Canis lupus familiaris: one gene and its partner. Each later gene encodes a partner of the first gene's protein in a complex. Links are inferred from orthologs where the notes say so. Each region holds a gene or a part of one and is shown in the gene's direction. Other genes may lie near its edges.

What was found.
Region 2: the proteins of WDPCP (region 1) and INTU are in contact, whole or in part, in a cryo-EM structure (PDB 7Q3E), measured with the Mus musculus proteins. The link is inferred for Canis lupus familiaris from reciprocal best matches to the Homo sapiens genes WDPCP and INTU. Residues at the interface, in NP_663400.2 of Mus musculus: Phe3, Cys4, Leu5, Ile24, Leu51, Ser54, Arg55, Asp56, Lys93, Leu385, Ala386, Glu387, Asp388, Tyr389, Ile427, Lys446, Leu447, Gly448, Ile449, Leu450, Thr451, Arg452, Gly453, Leu455, Leu462, Gln463, Ile465, His466, Tyr467, Gln487; in NP_780724.3 of Mus musculus: Val481, Gln484, Val488, Asp491, Ser495, Asp496, Glu498, Ala499, Ala500, Asp501, Ser506, Glu507, Asp508, Arg513, Arg514, Thr517, Ser532, His533, Leu534, Pro535, His574, Tyr593, Glu610, Gly613, Cys614, Ala615, Ser616, Lys617, Ser653, Pro654.

The regions. Positions count from the first base shown.
Region 1 is NC_049231.1:64,520,169-64,530,002, reverse strand, and holds the start of WDPCP (WD repeat-containing and planar cell polarity effector protein fritz homolog), read left to right. Parts: upstream 1-4,770; 5' UTR 4,771-4,850; coding exon 4,851-4,907; intron 4,908-9,834. UniProt on the Homo sapiens protein: Probable effector of the planar cell polarity signaling pathway which regulates the septin cytoskeleton in both ciliogenesis and collective cell movements.
Region 2 is NC_049240.1:14,064,209-14,073,316, reverse strand, and holds part of INTU (protein inturned), read left to right. Parts: intron 1-4,163; coding exon 4,164-4,699; intron 4,700-9,108. UniProt on the Homo sapiens protein: Plays a key role in ciliogenesis and embryonic development.

The DNA.
Region 1 (9,834 bases):
TTTTCTTAGTGTTGAGTTGTGTAAGTTCTTTATGTTTTGGATATAAACCCCTTATTGGATATGTCATTTGCAAATATCTTCTCCCATTCAGTAGGTTGCCTTTTTGTTTTGTCTTTGGTTTCTTTCTTTGTGCAAAAAAAACTTTTTATTTTTATGTAGTCCCAGTGGTTTATTTTTACTTTTGTTTCCTTTTTTTTTTTTTTTTTTTTAAGATTTATTTATTTATTCAGAGAGAGAGAGAGAGACACAGACAGAGGGAGAAGCAGGCTACTTGCAGGAAGCCCGACTTGGGACTCAATCCCGGGTCTCCAGGATCACACCCCGGGCTGCAGGCGGCGCTAAACTGCTAGGCCACCAGAGCTGCTCTACTTTTGTTCCCTTTGCCTTAGGAGACATGCCTAGAAAAATGTTACTATGGCTGATGTTAGAGACATTACTGCCTGTGTTTGTTCTCTTCTAGGATTTTTATAGTTTCAGGTCTCATATTTAGGTCTTTAGTCCACTTGAGTTTATTTTTGCCTGTGGTGTAAGGAGGTGGTCCAGTTTCCTTCTTTTGTATATACCTGTTATTTGCAAATAGTGATGATTGAATTTCTTTGCCAATACGGATGCCTCTTAGAGTCAGTTTTTATTTTTACACCTTATTTGGGATTCCATATGTCTAATTTTGTAATTTCACATGTTACTTTAAATAATGTTATTAACAGTTTATAAGTACTTGGTCATATATAATTGACAAATTGATTATATTTTACTTGATTAAAGGCAGGAGTCTGGATTGAGGTTCCTTCTTAGCATTTTGAGTTAAACTTTTGAATGCAGATCATGTTCTTTGAAATTTAAGCCTTACTTGACCTTTGTGAAAATTTTTAAAATTCTCGTTTCTTTGAACATAGCATATAGTGATTGCAGATTTATCATACTCAGATTTTGCCATTGGGGGACATACCTTCTTATTTAGCAGAGATAAGACATTCATTCATTTGACAACAAATATTTATAAAACATCTACCATGTTCTATAAGAGTAATTAAATTACCTATCAGGGCACAAGTCAATTTCAGTCTTGTGGGGGACACAGACAAGTAAATAGGTAAATCTAAGTATGTAAATTGATGAGTACTGTGAGTGAGGAATATACAGGGTACTCTGAAAGTACCTGTAGTGGAATTAGGTTTGGCCATCTAACCAAATCTTAGTGGAGTCTGGTATTGGGGAAAGCTTCCTGGAGAAAGTTTTGGCTAACCTGAGGCATAACATGTATAAGGGTTAGCCTGAGGTGAAGTGTTAAAAGGGAAAAAGATGTGGGGGTAGCTAAGTGTATTTCACATAAAGTATGTACAAAGGAAAGAGGAGCTAGAGAATGTGGCATGTCTCATGGGACTCTAGAACTTCAGTGTTCAGAGATGAAGCCAGAGGTGTGAGCAAGGACTATTTCATGCATGGTCTTAGGTATTATTGGAATTTCATCCTTAGTGCGATGGAAAGTCATTAAGGCTTTTCAGAGAAATGACATGATTCTTGTTGCTGTTTGGAAGGGTTTTGCTGACAGAAGGAAGAGTGGGTTGGGAGAAGTTAGATTAGAGACAAGGATATAAAGTGTAAGGACATTCTGGGTAATTGGTTGAGATGTGTTTGAGCCATAAACTATTTTGGTAGCAGTAGAGATGAAAAGAACTAGATGAATTTATGAAATTTTAACTAGTAACAGCAACAGAGTTGGTAATTGATAAGATGTGGGGTATGTGGAAGAAATAAATAGTAGTAAAGGTAACACTCAAGTTTCTAACTTAAGTAACTAGGTGGATAGTGCTTCCATTTAATGTGATTGGGATCATGGAAGGATTCAGAAAAGGAAGAATATGGATTCAGTTTTATAATGGTGAACCTCAAGTTAATGTGGAAGATGGGTAATAGGAGGTGGATATATAAACAAGCTGCTCAGGAGAGAAATGAGGGCTGGTGACTAAAAGTCATCAGCATGTAGGTAGTATTTGGAATAGATGAGGAGTTTTGCAGGGAGGGTATAAAGAGATCTCGGAGGACTCTTGAGTAGGATCCTGAGGAATCCAATATTTAAGAGATGGACAGAGGAAGAACCAGTGAAAAATACTGAGAAGCAGCAATTGGAGAGAGGTAGGTTGAAAATGGGGAGAGTGCTGGGTCACTGAAACCAATGGATGAAAGTGATTAAAAAGGTTATCAGGCAGTGAGAGTAGAAATATAATGGTAGAAAATGCACCCTATATGGGAAATTCAGATGAAGTGCTGTGTGATTTCAGATGAAGGAAAGACTCTCTGGCTAGGGAACAGGAATGCTTCATGGAAGAGGTTGCACCTGAAAAGCACATTTAAAGAAACTCCTGAATGGCAGGGAATATATTCCAGGTAAAGCGGCAACATAGTAACAGGTAGGAGAGTATGAGGCTTTAGAAGTAACAAGTCGTATGTTATTTAGCTACAGTTCTAGGGTTGGTGTTAGAGGTAGTACTAGAAAGGTAATGGGGAAATGAATATGAAGGCCATGATTGACATGCTGAAAGCTCTATGCTCTTGGCAATAGGAAGCCATAGGAGGATTTTAATGAAATCAGAATGATTTCATTCCTTTTAAGACTGTAGCATACTTCATTGTATAGATATATCACATTTTGTTTATCCATTCATCAACAGTATATTCTTTAGGGATACATATATAGGTAGTGATATATTTTGGGTAAAGGAAAGTAACCCAAAATTCAGGGTGCAGGTCACGTCTGGAGGAGAGAATGGGAGGGATGTGACTTGGGGAGGGGGTGCGAGTGTTTTACGGTACTGGTAGTGTTCTGTTTCTTTTCTATTCTTTTTTTTTTTTTTTTTTCATGAGAGACAGAGAGAGAGAGGCAGAGACACAGGCAGAGGGAGAAGCAGACTCCATGCAGGGATCTCGATGTGGGACTCGATCCCGAGTCTCCAGGATCACGCCCTGGGCTGAAGGCGGCGCTAAACTGCTGAGCCACCTGGGCTGCCCTAGTGTTCTGTTTCTTAAACTGAATGGCGAGTAAAGGATATTCATTTTATTCGTTAAATAGCTTATATGTTTTATACTTTAGTATGTATATTTCACAATTAAAAAAAATTAAAGTGATCATGGCAGTACTGTAATTTTCAGTGTCTTGTAAATAGAATGATATAAGATTCGTTATCTGATAAGATTAATCTATCAGTAGGTTAGGTTGGGGCAAAAAGAGGTTCTTTGGAGAGATTACTGAAATAGTCCAGAAAAGGAGTACAGGGCCAGAACCAAATCAAACTGTAGCACTGGAGAAGATTAATATAAATCAGGAAATTAATATAAATCAGGCAAAGAAATCAAGAGTATTTGTGAACTGGTGGGACAGGGTGGAGTGGAGGTTGTTCATTTTCAGTGTGCTTTCTTTCCTTTTTCTCACAGTGACTTTATTATCTAAAGTCACTTGTATTGAGCCTCCCCCTATTCCCTTGGTCTTACTCAACAGAAGACCTCTCTTCATTCTTCATTAGGAAAAAAAATAAGTTATCAAGCTTTACACTATTAAGTAAAAGTGTTTTACTTTTTTGGTCCCTACCTCACATAAAAGAAGCATGAAGAGTCTGAGATTTTACCTTACTTGCAGTCTACTAAGTTAGCCAGTTTCATGGAAGCTGGTAGAAAACATGAAATTCCTGGGTCAGAGTGAAGGTTAGTTTTTATTCATAGCAATAGAGTGAAGTATTAGCATTTTTTTTCTAATCCCCAGTTTCTTTAGTGTGACATAAAGAGTGCCAGATGATACCTGTACGTGCAGTGGGTTGTATTACAGAAGAGCTTAGGGAACCTAAACTTTTTGTAATGGGAAGTAAGCATGCCTGCCCTTTGCTCCATAAGAAACATTACCTCTATTTTCCAGGGCTATTTGTTATCCTTGAAGAGATCGTCTAGAACAAAGGGCCCTCAGTACCTCTTTTGCAGAAACCTGAGAGATTTATGGACAATTGTCTCCCAACACCTCAGAACATCTTAATATTTATCCTTCTTTCATTTCTATCAATCTCAGAAATATATCATTTCTTTTCATAGCTAACACTTCAACTTTGATTTTTATCCTCTTCTCTCTTGACTTCTGAGGTCTTATATCATGGCTATGTCTTCTCAGATCTTTATCAAATATTTATTGAATATTATGATACAGTGTGAGATGTTACAAAGCAGCTTTATGTAGCACTTACGTTAGTTAAGGTACTCAGATAAGTAAAAGAAATATTGAAGATTATCTTAGAATAGGATAAACTCGGTAAAGTTAAAATAAAAAAGAATGACGTGGAAGAAACTGGGATTGGTCCTATTTTACATAGTGATCATTGCAGAGACTTTTAGGAAGAAGTGACCTATGCACAGAGATCTGAATTATGAGAATCAGATTTCCACATAAAAGAAGAGCACAAAAACTCATAGGAATAAGATTGATATTTTTTGAAAAACAAAAAGAAAGCCCATGTTTCTGGATGGTAGTGAGCTAAGGAGGACAGTGGTAAATGATGAACTTAGATAGGTCCAGATTACTAGATTCAGATGACAAGACATTTGAATTTTATTTGGTCTATAACCTTTGTTAGTCCACTATATCTTTCTTTTAAATTATAGATATTTTATGGGCCTTTTCCTGTTCTAAATAACTTTTTGAAGAGATGCCATTACTTCCCATTCTTTTCCAAATTCTATAGAACCAAAGAATTAAAAGATAAATTCTCAACACTGTTGGAAGACGAAATGGTGCCATCAGGTATTGTGAGGAATTGACAGCCTGAAGGCTGGAAAATGACAGCCCAGAATGGCACAGAGAACAACTGTGCATGAAAGGAAAGCCTCAAAACTTTCAAGTTCTTGGTAATGGGGGTAATCATTTCAAGGTATGTGCCTTAAATAGGAAGACAGTATTTCTCCTTGCCCAGTTCTTTCTCCTCAAATCATTCACAACACATGCATTCTCTATTCTTTCCTCTCTCCCTTTCTCTCTCTGACACACGCACACAAACCCCCCCCCACACACACACATACATACACACACATGCACATACTAAGGATAGCATTTGTCTATTTCTGAAATTCAAAACCATTTGTAAGGTAAACTACCTACCTGAGGAAGGCTTCCACTGTGGCTGTAGGGACATGAGAAAAGAGTAGAACGTGAAGTAACTTGGGAGGACTTATCTATGTTACAGAAGCGTACAGGAGGAAAAATGAAAGACAGTCCTGCCCAGGGGGAAATATGTTAGAGTACTCACAATCAGAGTAAAACTGTTTTCCTCTGTTTTTGTCACTTGGAGCCTTCTCAGCTTACCCACACATCTTAATGTGGCTCTGGCCACTTAATATACCAGCAGTCAGCCTTCCTGTATAGGAAAGAGACTGAATGGGGGAAATATCTGTATGGCTATAGAGAAAACCTGGGCCAGCTGTGTGTATACTCATCAACTTAGATTTTTGTTCATAAATATGAATGGACAGCCAAGGATCATCATCAGACACTTAAGAAAACCAATGCAGGAAAAGAAGAGCGAAGATGAACAAACCACTGATTTGGATGAAACATTTAATTCAAAGAACAGAAGAACATACAAAATATATTCTAACCAATAATTTTTGAGAGATTCCAGAAGATAATGGAACAATTCAAAAGAAGCAATGAGCAAATGATCTTTGAAATTAAACATATGATTTAAGGTTTAAAAAAATACAGGGAAGGCCCCTGGGTGGCTCGCTTAATTAAGGGTCTGCTTTCAGCTCAGATCATGGTCCCAGGGTTCTAGGATTGAGCCCTGCATTGGTCTCCCTGCTTATTGAGGAGACTGCTTCTGCTTGTGCTCTCTCTGGCTCATGCTCTGTCTCTCTTAAATAAATAAAATCTTCAAAAAGACGAATAATAAATAAAATAGAGGTATTTGGTTCAGTTAGTAGAGCATGCAACTCTTGATCTCAGGGTTGTGAGTTTAAGCCCTACATTGGGTGTGGAGCCTACTTAAAATTTAAAAAAATCTATTTTAATATTAATATGTTATAATAAAATATAAAATTAAATTAAAAATAATTTAAAAATTATATATCATTGACTTTTGAACAGTGTGAGGACTAGGCATGCCGACCTCCTGCACAGTTGAAAATCTTTTTTTTTTAAAGATTTATTTATTTATTTATTCATGATAGAGAGAGAGAGAGAGAGGCAGAGACACAGGAGGAGGGAGAAGCAGGCTCCATGCTGGGAGCCCGACGTGGGACTCTATCCCGGGACTCCAGGATCGTGCCCTAGGCCAAAGGCAGGCGCTAAACTGCTGAGCCACCCAGGGATCCCACAGTTGAAAATCTGAGTATAACTTTTGACTCTCCTTGAAACTTAATTACTAATAGCCTGTTGTTGACTGGAAACCTTACTGATAACACACACTGTTGATTAACACATATTTTATATGCTATGTATATTACATGTATGTATATGTTCTTACAGTAAAGTAAGCTAGAGAGAAAATATATTAAAATTGTAAGGAAGAGAAAATATATTCACAGTACTGTACTGTGTTTATTGAAAAGTCTGGTATACGTGGACCTGAGTAGTTCAAACCTGTGTTGTTCAAGAGTATGTCTTCTCTATATTAGAAGAGCAAAACAATGTAATAGATCTAACTACAGACTGAAATAGTAATCTGGAAGATAAAATCAAAGAAATATTAGAGTTAAAAGACAAAATGTGGGAGAGAAGCTAAGCCATGGAAGGTCAATCCAGACAATGCATTGTAACTAGAAATTGAGAAATAAAGGTTGTCCCCCCGCCCCCCATATGTAGCCATGTGGCCTTAGGGGACTGTTGGTATTTATGATTGCGATGGGCCTCTGGACCTTGTTTCAACCAGACTCTCTATTTTTACAAGTTTTATATGTTAGAGTTAGTGTAGTATTTTATTGAAGGAAAAAGTGGTCTACCAGGAAAAAAATGTCTGAAAATTAGTGACATATGGGATAAAGCTCAGATTTGCTGTGTTTTATTCAAAGGTCTTCACAGTTTTACCACAACTTGTCTTTCTAGGGGGAGTGAAAGAAGATTACATAGAAAGGATAGGGGCCAACTCACATAGGGGTATGTAAGGCAATATAAAGACTTTAAGACCTATGGAATGAGAAGTTTTTGAAGAGATTCAGACAAATAAAATAGTCTAATTTTTGTATATTTAAAAAATTTAAATTAGCTATTATATACTATGCATTATATATTAAAATTCTGAAAGTATTTTATATTTCTATGGGAAATGGATTATGGCTCAAAAGTTGAAATGCGGGGCCAGTCAGAGGCATTAAATGCTCCAGGCAAGATAAACTGGTGTTCTAAACTGAAGAGGTAATAATTGGGATACAAAGAAGATTTATATATTCTAAAATATATTAGGATATGTTTTAGAAGAAGGTGAGCCAAGGGGCAGCCTGGGTGGCACAGTCCATTAAGCCTCTGATTCTTGGTTTTGGCTCAGGTCATGATCTTGAATCATGAGCTTGAGCACCGGGTCAGTCTCTGTGCTCGGCACAGAGTCTGCTTGAGAGTGTCTCTCTCCCTCTTCTCTTACACCTCCTGTTTGTGTTCTCTCTCTCTCTCTCTCAAATAAATAATAAAATAAAAATTAAAAAAAAAAAAAAAGCTGAGCCAAGAAGGGAAAAGTTAACATGAAGGTGGTGAATGATAGTAAGAGAGATTTGAAAGAGTGGGGGGTTTTTTTTCCTTTCTCCTCTCTTCCTTTCTCCCTCCTCTGTCACCTTTTCCCCCAGCCTCTCCCTACCTTTTAGTAAAACAGAGAATATTTCTTTTGTAGTCATAATGTACTCCATTTTGTTGGGAAAGGAAAGGAGTTGGTGGTAAGACTGGAAAGGTTGCCCACATTCAAAATGAATTGCTTATATATTTAATAAAAGGATAATCAGAACTTTAAAAAAATAAACATTTGTTATCCTCATAGTTTATCTGTATCAGATATTTAACAATGGCTTAGATAGGCAGTTCTGGCTCAGGATCTCTCAAGAGAGTGCAGTGATCTGATGGCTGGGCTGGAGCTGGTGGATCTAAGTCCCGGGAGGCATATGGTTAGCAAGGGGGTACTGGTTGTTGCCAGGGGGCCAGCTCTCCCTCCCCAAAGTGTTCTTCTTCATGGGCTGTTTGAATATCTTCACGGCATGGTTCTGGCTGTGCCCTCTCCCCCTGGCCTCGGGGTGACAGGCAGCTGCAGAGGAAGGTTCTGAGCCTCATGGGCAGCTGTGGCACCTGGAACATGGGGCAGAGCACTCAGAACTTTTTAAAAAATGATTTTAAATACCCTACAATGAAAGAAGCATGTACTGACAAAAATGATGGACTTGGGGATTAAAGAAATTTGGAAAATAGGAAAATACTACCTCATATGGTTGTTCTTAAGGTCTAACTAAGAAAATGCATATAAAACACCATACAGTAGACACTCTGGCTGAAAAGAAAACTTCTTTCTTCTTGATCAAACATAAGATAAGTTACTTTAAAACCTTAGAGATGTTTCAAACTTGTTGAAGTTTAAAAACAATACAATTTCTAAGGGAAAATTATACATATTTCCTTATTAGCATAATCACTGATTTACATGTAGGAGGTTAACAGTGCAAATTTAGTTTTCAGGAATTGACCATTGCTTTATAAGAGTATTAAACCTTTTATTGGGGCAGCCCTTGGTGGTGCAGCAGTTTAGCGCTGCCTGCAGCCCGGGGTGTGATCCTGGAGGCCCAGGATCAAGTCCCACATCGGGCTCCCTGCATGAAGCCTGCTTCTGTCTCTGCCTCTCTCTCTCTATCTCTCTCTCTTTGTGTCTGTCATGAATAAATAAGTAAAACTCATTTAAAAATTTAAAAAAATAAACCTTTTATTGAATATCTTTAATTTAAAATGTTTTTTGAGTACGCCACATATTGAATAATTTGTAACAAAGTCATGCCATAAAACTGATGTTTGAAATAACTCATATAAGTGTACATTGGAATATTTATGGAAGGGGATGCATAGTTAAACCAGTGTTCATGCCAAATCCACCATGCACTCATATGTATTGAGCTATACTGTTAAAAAATATTTTGTAATTAAAATATGTATACCACCAAATTTTCTTTGTTAGAAAATAACTGACATATAATATTTACTAACTACTGAGAAAATAGCAAACTCTGCTTTGAATACCTAGACACCTTCTCATTGGCTGGCACCATCTGTGACAAATTCTGAACTGTACTGTTTACAGACACACAGCTGCAGTCTGAGTTGGCACCAAAACCAAGTATTGACGCTGTGCTCTTTGCAGCCCTAGCCCTGTCTAATTCCTCTGGAAGGGAGGAGATGGGAGAAGAGGTTGCAAATGCAGGAGTGGTGAGAGTAATTGATAGTTTATGTCTCTTCTCTCTTAAGAAATAAACCCTCCCCTTGTCTCGAAACTCCTTTAGCTACCACTCTTTTTCACCATCCACATTTATGGCTTCAACTACATAATTGGCTCCTAATATTTTTATTTTTATTCTAGAACTCATTCCTGAGCTCCATTGCTAGAGTTGGGTGTTTAATGTCTACCTAATGCTTTAAGTTAGCTTAACAGTCTACAGAATATTCATCTTCTAATAATAAATGCTAACTGTGGGCAGCTCGGCAGTTTTGCACCTATTTTTAAATGCCAGATGACATCATGGAATGTTGCAAAGTCAAAGTGGTGAATTATCCCCAAAAATCCTAGTTGTATTTCTAATAGAAAATATTCTTTCATGGAGAGTGCCTGTTGAAGTAGTGTGATT
Region 2 (9,108 bases), on another chromosome or scaffold:
ATCCTTTATCAGATACATCATTTGCAAATATCTTCTCCTATTCCATAGGTTGCCTTTGGTTTCCTTTGCTGTGCAGAAGATTTTTATTTTGATGTCGTCCCAATAGTTCATTTTTGCTTTTGTTTCTCTTGCTGAGCTCAGGGACCCTACCTAGAAAAAGTTACTATAGCCAATGTTAAGATAAGTTACTGCCTGTGTTCTCTTCTAGGATTTTTAAGGTTTCAGTTCTCACATTTATGTCTTTCATTCATTTTGACTTTATTTTTGTGTATGGTATAAGAAAGTGGTCCAGTTTCATTTTTCTTCATGTTCCTGTCCAGTTTTCCCAGCACCATTTGTTGAAGAGACTATTTTTTTTTCTACTGGATATCTTTTCTGCTTTGTCAAAGATTAGTTGGCTTTATAGTTGTGAATCCATTTCTGGGTTTTCTATTCTATTCCATTTACCTACATGTCTGTTTTTGTGCTAGTACCATACTGATTACTACAGCTTGTAATATAACTTGAAGTCTGGAATTGTGATGTATCCAGCTTTCCTTTTTTTTTTTCTTTTTATGATTTTTTTATTTATTCATGAGCGAGAGGCAGAGACATAGGCAGAGGGAGAAGCAGGCTCTCCATGAGGAGCCTGATGCAGGACTCTATCCTGGATCCTGACCTGAGCCAAAGGCAGACACTCAACCACTGAGCCACGCAGGTGCCCCTGTTTTTCTTTTTTGTGGTTCCATACAAATTTTAGGATTGATTATTCTAACTCTGTGAAAAATGCTGGTAGTAATTTGATAAGGATTACATTAAACGTGTAGATTGTTTTGGGTGGTAGTAGACATTTTAACAATATTTGTTCTTCCAATCCATGAGCATGGAATATTTTTCCATTTCTTTGTGTCATCTTTAATTTCTTTCATACATGTTTATAGTTTTCAAAATACAGATCTGTTACCTCTTTGGTTAGGTTTATTTGTAGATATCTTATGATTTGGGGTATAATTATAAATGGTATTGATTCCTTAACTTCTCCTTCTGCTGCTTCGTTATTTTAGAGAAATGCAACAGATTTCTGAATGTTGATTTTGTATTCTGCAACTTTATTGAATTGGTGTATCAGTTGTAGCAGTTTTTTGGTTGAGTTTTTTGGATTTTCTCTACAGAGTATGATGTCATCTGCAAATATTAAAGGTTTTACTTCTTCCTTGTGGATTTGGATGTTGATTTTTATTTCTTTTTGTTGTCTGATTGCTGAGGCTTGGACTTCCTGTACTATGTTAAGTAACAGTGGTGAGAGTGGACATCCCTGTCTTGTTCCTGATTATAGAGGAAAGCTCTCAGTTTTTCCCCTTTGAGGATGACAGTAGTTGTGGGTTTTTTATATGTGGCTTTTATGATGTTGAGGTATGTTCCAGACTAGCTTTAGTTGTCCACATGGGCATGGAGACAGTCCTTCAAGGCCTCTGCTTATGCTGTTCCTTCTGCTTGGAGTTGTCTTTTCTCTTTCAGCTCCCTATATCCCCATCACCAACCACCTACTCTTTTAAAACTTACTTCTGAAAAAAACAAAACAAAACAAAACAAAACAAACTTCTGTGTCTCCTCTGCCAGAAATTCTCCCTGCCCTGATCCTCAATCCCAGGATAAACTAGATGACCTCTGTCTTTCATTTACCATATGTATTGTTGTGAATTCTTTCTCACTTTCTCTTCTCCACTAGACAGGGGAAGGAACTGATGTTTTTTAATCATTACAATTCTAGTACTTTCCAAGTGCCCTGCACTGTTCATTTGCTCCATGATTGAATGCCCTGTGCCTGCTCCCTGCAAGCTGAAAATATCTTTAAGTCAAAAAATGGTTTCCCATTCAAATTTTAAAGATTAAAAGAGTGAGATTATAAAGCAAATAATTTCATTCAGTGTTTAAACTGATATATATCTTCATATGTAATTATGTGTAATCATGATATGTACATTGTACCATTTTAAATCATGGTACATAGTTATCTAGATTGGAAATATTTAGATTCTTCAGAGTAAATACTAATTTCTGTGGGTACAGATAGATATGGTTGAAACATCTGATAAATGGTTAAAACCTGATGCTAAATGGTGCTAAAATAATGCCACAATTAGGAACCAATAAGTGCCAAAGAAATGTTAGTTTTATATATGGGGCTGGATATTCCTTTTTTTTTTTTTAATATTTTATTTATCCATTCATAGAGACACAGAGAGAGAGAGAGGCAGGGGCACAGGCAGAGTGAGAAGCAGGCTCCACGCAGGGAGCCCGATGCGGGACTCGATCCAGGGTCCCCTGGATCAAACCCCGGGCTGCAGGCGGCGCCAAACCGCTGCACCACCGGGGCTGCCCTGGATATGCCTTTTTTTAAACCATTAATATATAGTTAAAAATTCCCAACCACAGATGAGATCAGTAGTTAGTTTCAGAGTTGAGTAATAGAGTAATACATTTTTTAAAAGTAATTTTCACAACTTTTAGAGCGAAGTTGACTTTTTTTTAGAGAGTAATAGAGTGTGCACAGGTTTGGGTGGTAGAGGGGAGGAGCACAGGAGAGGGAGAGAGAGAGAATCTTAAGGAGGCTCCATCCCAATGCAAAAAGCCCCACAACTGGACAGAGTCCAACACGGGGTTGGATCTCACAACCCTGAGATCATGACCTGAGCCAAATTCAAGTGGTGGACGCTTAAGCAACTGAGTCACCCAGGTGCTCCTAGAGAAATAGTTGACTTTTAAGTTAAAAGAATAAGAGTTGCTAATAAATAGTGCAGAAAACAGAAATGTCTTTCTATTTGATGGAATGATTAGAACACAAATTATACCCTTTTACATCAGAATATTACAGCTGGTGTTTCTGAAATATTCTCTTTACATACTTTATTTTCCACTGTAACCAGTTTTATTTTAAAAATAGCAGTTTGAAAGGTAGTGTTCATTACATTGAACAGGCAGGGTTGAGTTTGTATTTAGGATTGATACCTTAAGATAAGCATTTTGTTTTGTAATGTTGTTTCAGCCATTTTATTTTTATTTATTTATTTATTTATTTTATTTTTTTTATTTATTCATGATAGGCACACAGTGAGAGAGAGAGAGGCAGACACAGGCAGAGGGAGAAGCAGGCTCCATGCACCGGGAGCCTGATGTGGGATTCGATCCCGGATCTCCGGGATCGCGCCCTGGGCCAAAGGCAGGCGCCAAACTGCTGCGCCACCCAGGGATCCCTGTTTCAGCCATTTTAATAGAAGTACTTTTGTTTTTATCAATGGCCTATTTCAGTTAAAAGTTTTTTTTAACAATCACATGACAAATTATGTAATATGCGGTTTACTTTTCTTACAATTGTTTATAAAAAAACAAGTTTAATGGAAATTTTAGGCTGTAGAAGCGATCTTTATCAACTGTGATTATAAACTAGTTTTTAGCAAAGATTTTAGTTTATGGTGAGGTGAATGTTTTGAAAATTTATCGTATAAACAAATTTATTAAAAACAATAGGCTTTAGTTTTCATTTTAACATAAACATACTAAATAATTTCTATGCAAACAGGATGTTTTTATGTCCAATTTCCAAATGGCTTATATCTGGATATAATTGAACAATCAACTATTAATGTAAATTATTGTCCAGTGAAATGGTGTAAAGTGAACAAGGGCTGAATTAAAATGAAAAAAAATCTTAGGTTCTAGAAGGAGGCCATCTCCTTTTCTTTTTTCTTTTCTATCACTATGCTTTTTTTTTTTTTTAAGATTTTATTTATTTATTCATGACAGACACAGAGAGAGAGAGAGAGAGAGGCAGAGACACAGGCAGAGGGAGAAGCAAGCTCCATGCAGGGAGCCTGACGTGGGACTCAATCCCGGGTCTCCAGGATCACACCCTGGGCTGAAGGCGGCACTAAACCGCTAAGCCACCTGGGCTGCCCTCACTATGCTTTTTTGATTCCCTCTCCTCCAACCCCAGTTCTTCAAGACTCTTAAAAAGTGTCCTAGGAAATAATGTTGATGCTTACAATAAATCAGAAATAGTGAGACTTTGAAAGAATCAAAGAATTTTCACCTCCTCCCACCTCCCTGCGTGCCCATGCCCAAAAAACATAACTATTTTTCTTATGTTTGGCTGCTATTCAGAATATCTTTTCTCTTTTTTATAGTGATGTTGAACCCGAATGGCTGGACAATGTGCAGAAAAATGGAGAATTATTTTATTTGGAATTGAGTGAAGATGAAGAAGAAAGCCTCCTTCCTGAGACTCCTACTGTGAACCATGTCCGGTTCAGTGAAAATGAAATTATAATTGAAGAAGATTACAAAGAAGGAAAAAAGTATGAACCTAAGCTGAAGCGGTTTACCAAAATTTTAAAAAGTAAAAGTCTTTTACCCAAGCGCTACAATAAAAAAAATAGCAATGACAATGAGCCAGTGTCCATTCTAAAGCATCAGTCCAACCCAAAAACAGGAGTTGTTGTCCAACAGCGGTATAAAGATGTGAATATTTATGTAAACCCCAAAAAGTTAACTGTAACCAAAGCCAAAGAGCAGCTCAAGCTTCTGGAAGTACTGGTTGGGATTATTCATCAGACTAAGTGGAGCTGGAAAAAAAGTGGGAAACAGGGCATTGGAGAGAGACTTGTGGTCCATGGCCTGCTACCAGGAGGATCTGCTATGAAGAGTGGTCAGATATTAATTGGTAAGTGTTGCTGGTAAATATCAGTTCTTGTGTGCAGAGATTCATGATTAATGATGTTTTGTGAGACATGATCAAAACAGAATTCTATCCAAAGTCTCAACAGATTAAGGACTGCTTGGTGATATTTGGGATAATAGTGAAATTGTTAAGCATGGTGTACTTCAAGGAAGGCCATGCTGTTCTTAAATAAGGTTTTTGGTAAGTTGAGGCGTGTGCCTCGTTTAAGCCAAGGAATAGCTTAACTAATTTTTGAGTTTTGAATTATATAATTATATTTCATCTTGGTTATATTTGCTGACAAGAGAAAGAAAATAAGCTAATTTTACAATGATGATTTAGATTTGAATGACCTATATCCAACAGCATGATATAAAAATATGTAATTTATGAATAAAAATACTTTTAAATTGTATGTTTGCACTTGAGTACACTAAATTCTTGGAGTGGTTTTAAGCTGTTTCATTTGGCATATTTAGCAACAGTGATGTTATACATAAATTTCCTTTTAAGGGTGCTTGTCATAAAACATTTCATCAATTTTAAGGGGAAAAAAATCCAAAAGTCATTCTGAATATATATTAAGGTGAGCATTTTGTATTGCTAATACATTTTTAGCGTTGGATATAATGCTTGAGTCATAGCAACTTTATTACTTAGATAAAGCTGTATTAGTCAAATGTGAAAATATATTGTTAATGAAACTTAAGTTATTAACAGATTTAAAAACTCATGGTCTTTTAAGTTGACTCAGCCTATAAGATTTAGATAAACTGGGACACCTGGGTGGCTCAGCGGTTGAGTGTCTGCCTTGGGCCCAGGGTGTGATCCTGGGGTCCCGGGATCGAGTCCCACATTGGGCTCCCTGCGGGAAGCCTGCTTCTCTCTCTGCCTGTATCTCTGCCTCTCTCTCTCTCTCTGTGTCTCTCATGAATAAATTTTTAAAAATCTTAAAAAAAATTAGATAAACTTTTATAGCTACTTTAGAAACATTTAAAAATATTTCTTAGTCTAAATTGCATTTGTTCATTGATTCAATGAAACTTTTGAACATTTGCTAAGTGTCAGGAATACAAAGATTACTCTAAGGATCCACTTACACTTCTTAAGAAGCTCAGACTGTGATGGAAGAGATGGGTCAGAAAGAGGCAGACTGGGGCCTGGATGGCTCAGTCAGTTAAGCATCTGCCTTCGGCTCAGGTCATGATCTCAGAGTCCTGGGATAGAGCTCCACGTGGGGCTCTCTGCTCTGTGGGGAGCCTGCTTTTTCCCCTTCCTCTGCTTCTCCCCCTGCAGGTGCTTGCTCTCTCTTTCTCTGTCAAATAAATAAAATCTTTAAAAAAAAAAAAGAAGTAGGTAGACAGTTTCACATAGTATGATAAGTGCAGTGATAGGGGTTTACAAGGGCGAAATCACATAGGAAGGACATCTATGCAGTGGGTGTTCCAGATGGTTGCAACAAGATCTCCCTATTCCTTTCTTACAACGTCATGTTGATACTCCTTCCATGAAGAGTTAAGTTTTTGGGTCCTCCCCTCCCTACCCCTGTGGGCCTGGACTACAGCTTAACTAGTACTATGTGATCTCAGGGGTGGAATCATAAGAGGTGATGCAGCTTCTGCTTAGTATTCTTGGAGTCCAGTTTTCATTGTGTGAGCAAGGGTGGTCCACATGAAGAGGCCACGAGTAGTATTCCAGCTAATCACCCCAACAGAGGTCTCAGCCGCCCTGCAGCATCAATTAGTTACCACACATGAGTGAAGAAGGCTTCCAGATAATTCCAACCCCAACCACCATCTGACTGCAACTACATGAGGAACCCTGAGTGAGAACCTCCGCTAAGCCCAGTCAGCCCCAGAACCAAGAAGGATAATAGGTGGTGGTGGTTGTTTTAAATGCCTAAGTTTTGGGGGATCCCTGGGTGGCTCAGCGGTTTGGTGCCTGACTTTGGCCCAGGGCACAATCCTGGAGTCCCGGGATCGAATCCCACGTCGGGCTTCCGGCATGGAGCCTGCTTCTCCCTCCCCTCCGCCTGTGTCTCTGCCTCACTCTCTCTCTATGTCTATCATAAATAAATAAATCTTAAAAATAAATAAATTAATTAATTAATTAATTAATTAATAAATACCTAAGTTTTGTGGTCATTTGTTATGCAGTAACAGATAGCTAATGCATGCTTACGTTCTCTCAGGTGCTCAACTTCCTCTTTTGTAAAATGTCTCTAAGGTTTATTCTTTGTTCTTTCAGAGGATGCCAGAATTCATGCTTATGAAATCTTGCCTGGTTGTTGCCAACCACCATAATTTTAGGATACCACAAGATGGGAAACGCCTATATTTATCTGGGGCCTCTGTTCAGGACCTAATTGGACTGATTTGTAGACAAATCTCTAAAATTCTTTTTGCCCATTTCTCTTGAACCCTAGTGGAGAGGTGGTTATGATCAGTGAACGTCCTATTCCATGTTTACTTTCCCCTGATCCTCACTCCAGTCTGCTGAATCCTCTAGGAATGACGCTTTTGTCTTCTCATACCATCTGTGTGGGAGGAAAGAGAATGAACTATAGAGAGGGAGAGACTACTATATAGTCCTGTTGATTATATTTAAAATAATTTAAAGATACACATGATGCTCAGAGTATACTTCTTGGCCTGAATGTAGTTACATAAATATGTGCATTTTTTGATAATTTACTGTTGTACTACTACAGTTTGTGCACTTTTCTGCATGTGTATTGAGTAGCAATAAAAAGGCAAAAAAAATGAAGTTCATCATTTCAGTTTCATAATGGAAGAGTTTATGATTTACCAATATGTAAAAAAAATTGTCAGAATAAAATGATTATTTCATCCTTGATGCATAGCAAAAGGTTTGGTTGATAAATAAGCCCTCAAAAACAGTTATTGAATAAATGTACATACTATGTAGAAAAATAGGGGAAAATGATTAGAAGTAAATATAAATGCAGCAAAATGCTAGTAGAGTTGGGTTTGTGTGGAGACATTATAAATGTTTTTTTCTTTTTTCAGATGTTTAATTTTATGGTTATGTTGTATATTTTTAAAGTCACATACTTTGGGAATAAATAATGGACAATTAAAATGTCATGGTGACTTTGATAATCCCACAGGATGGAATTCTCTCATTTGTTTCTTTCATTGTTTCATTTCACACTGAATTCTGTGGTTGAACTGTGAGGTAACCCCATATGCAGGAGGATCTTGAAAACTTTGTCCTGGTAATGCAGTATGCTGGGGTGACTTCTGCCATTGTCTTAGCTGGAGAATGACCCTCCTTTGACTAAAGTGTGTTGGCCAACACAGTGAGACTGGTGACTGTTTTCATTCTTTCCCTTTCATGACAGTAGAACTCATGTTCTATTCTGATTCTTCTTTTACTGGGATTCTGGGGGGTTTGCTGCATTTTCTGGTGCCATTTTTGCAGTTCTTTCTGCTGACTTAACTCCTTATTTTTTATTTCTGAGTTTTTCTTAAAGTTTGACCGCTGAGGGGCACTAGGGTGGCTCAGTCAGTTAAATATCTGACTTTTGATTTTGGCTCAGGTCATGATCTCAGGGTTGTGAGTTCAAGCCCCGTGTTGGGCTCCATGCTGGGTGTGGAGCCTGCTTGAGATTCTCTTTCTCCCTCTGCCCCTCCCTGCTCCTTCCCACCCCCATGCACGTGAATGCAGGTGCTCTCTCTCTTTCAAATAAATAAATCTTAAAAAAAAAAAAAAGTTTGACAGCTAATTGCTCCTTGACTACGAGTAGCCAGTCTGTATCCCTAAACCAAAGCAAATCCTCTTTTTACCTGCATCCTAGAAATTATGTATCACCTTGGTGATTTTTTTTTCATCAAGATGACCCAGTTTTGCTAGTTTAAGTAGGTGTTTTTTAAGGATTGGAAAGGATAGGGTTAAAGAAATCACACATTAATGTTCTAAACACATTAACAGTAAAAGTTTTATTTTAAGTGCTTTTTGTGTAACTTCTAAGGTTCTCACCTGTGATCACTGAATAACTTTGTTTTGTATGACACACTTGTGCTATTTCTCTTTTAAATTTTTTGAAGTTTTTTTACTTTTTAGAAATCTTTTTGAGGTATAACATTCATAACATGGACAAATCTTAAGTATACATTGAATGAATTTTGACATATGTATATGCCTGTGTAACTACCACCCAAAGAACATTTCCAGTACCCAGAAGGTTCCATAGTGCCTCCTCCCAGTTAATACCTCCTTCCTTCTGAAAGTCAAGTTTTCTATCAACAGAGTTGGTTTTTCCTCCTCCTCTTCTTCTTTTTTTAATTTTACCTCTTCTTAAACTTCATTTAATAGAAAAATATAGGGTATATTCTCTTGTGTTTATTTTCTTTATTTTATAATCTTGGGAAATATCCAGGCTTTTGATA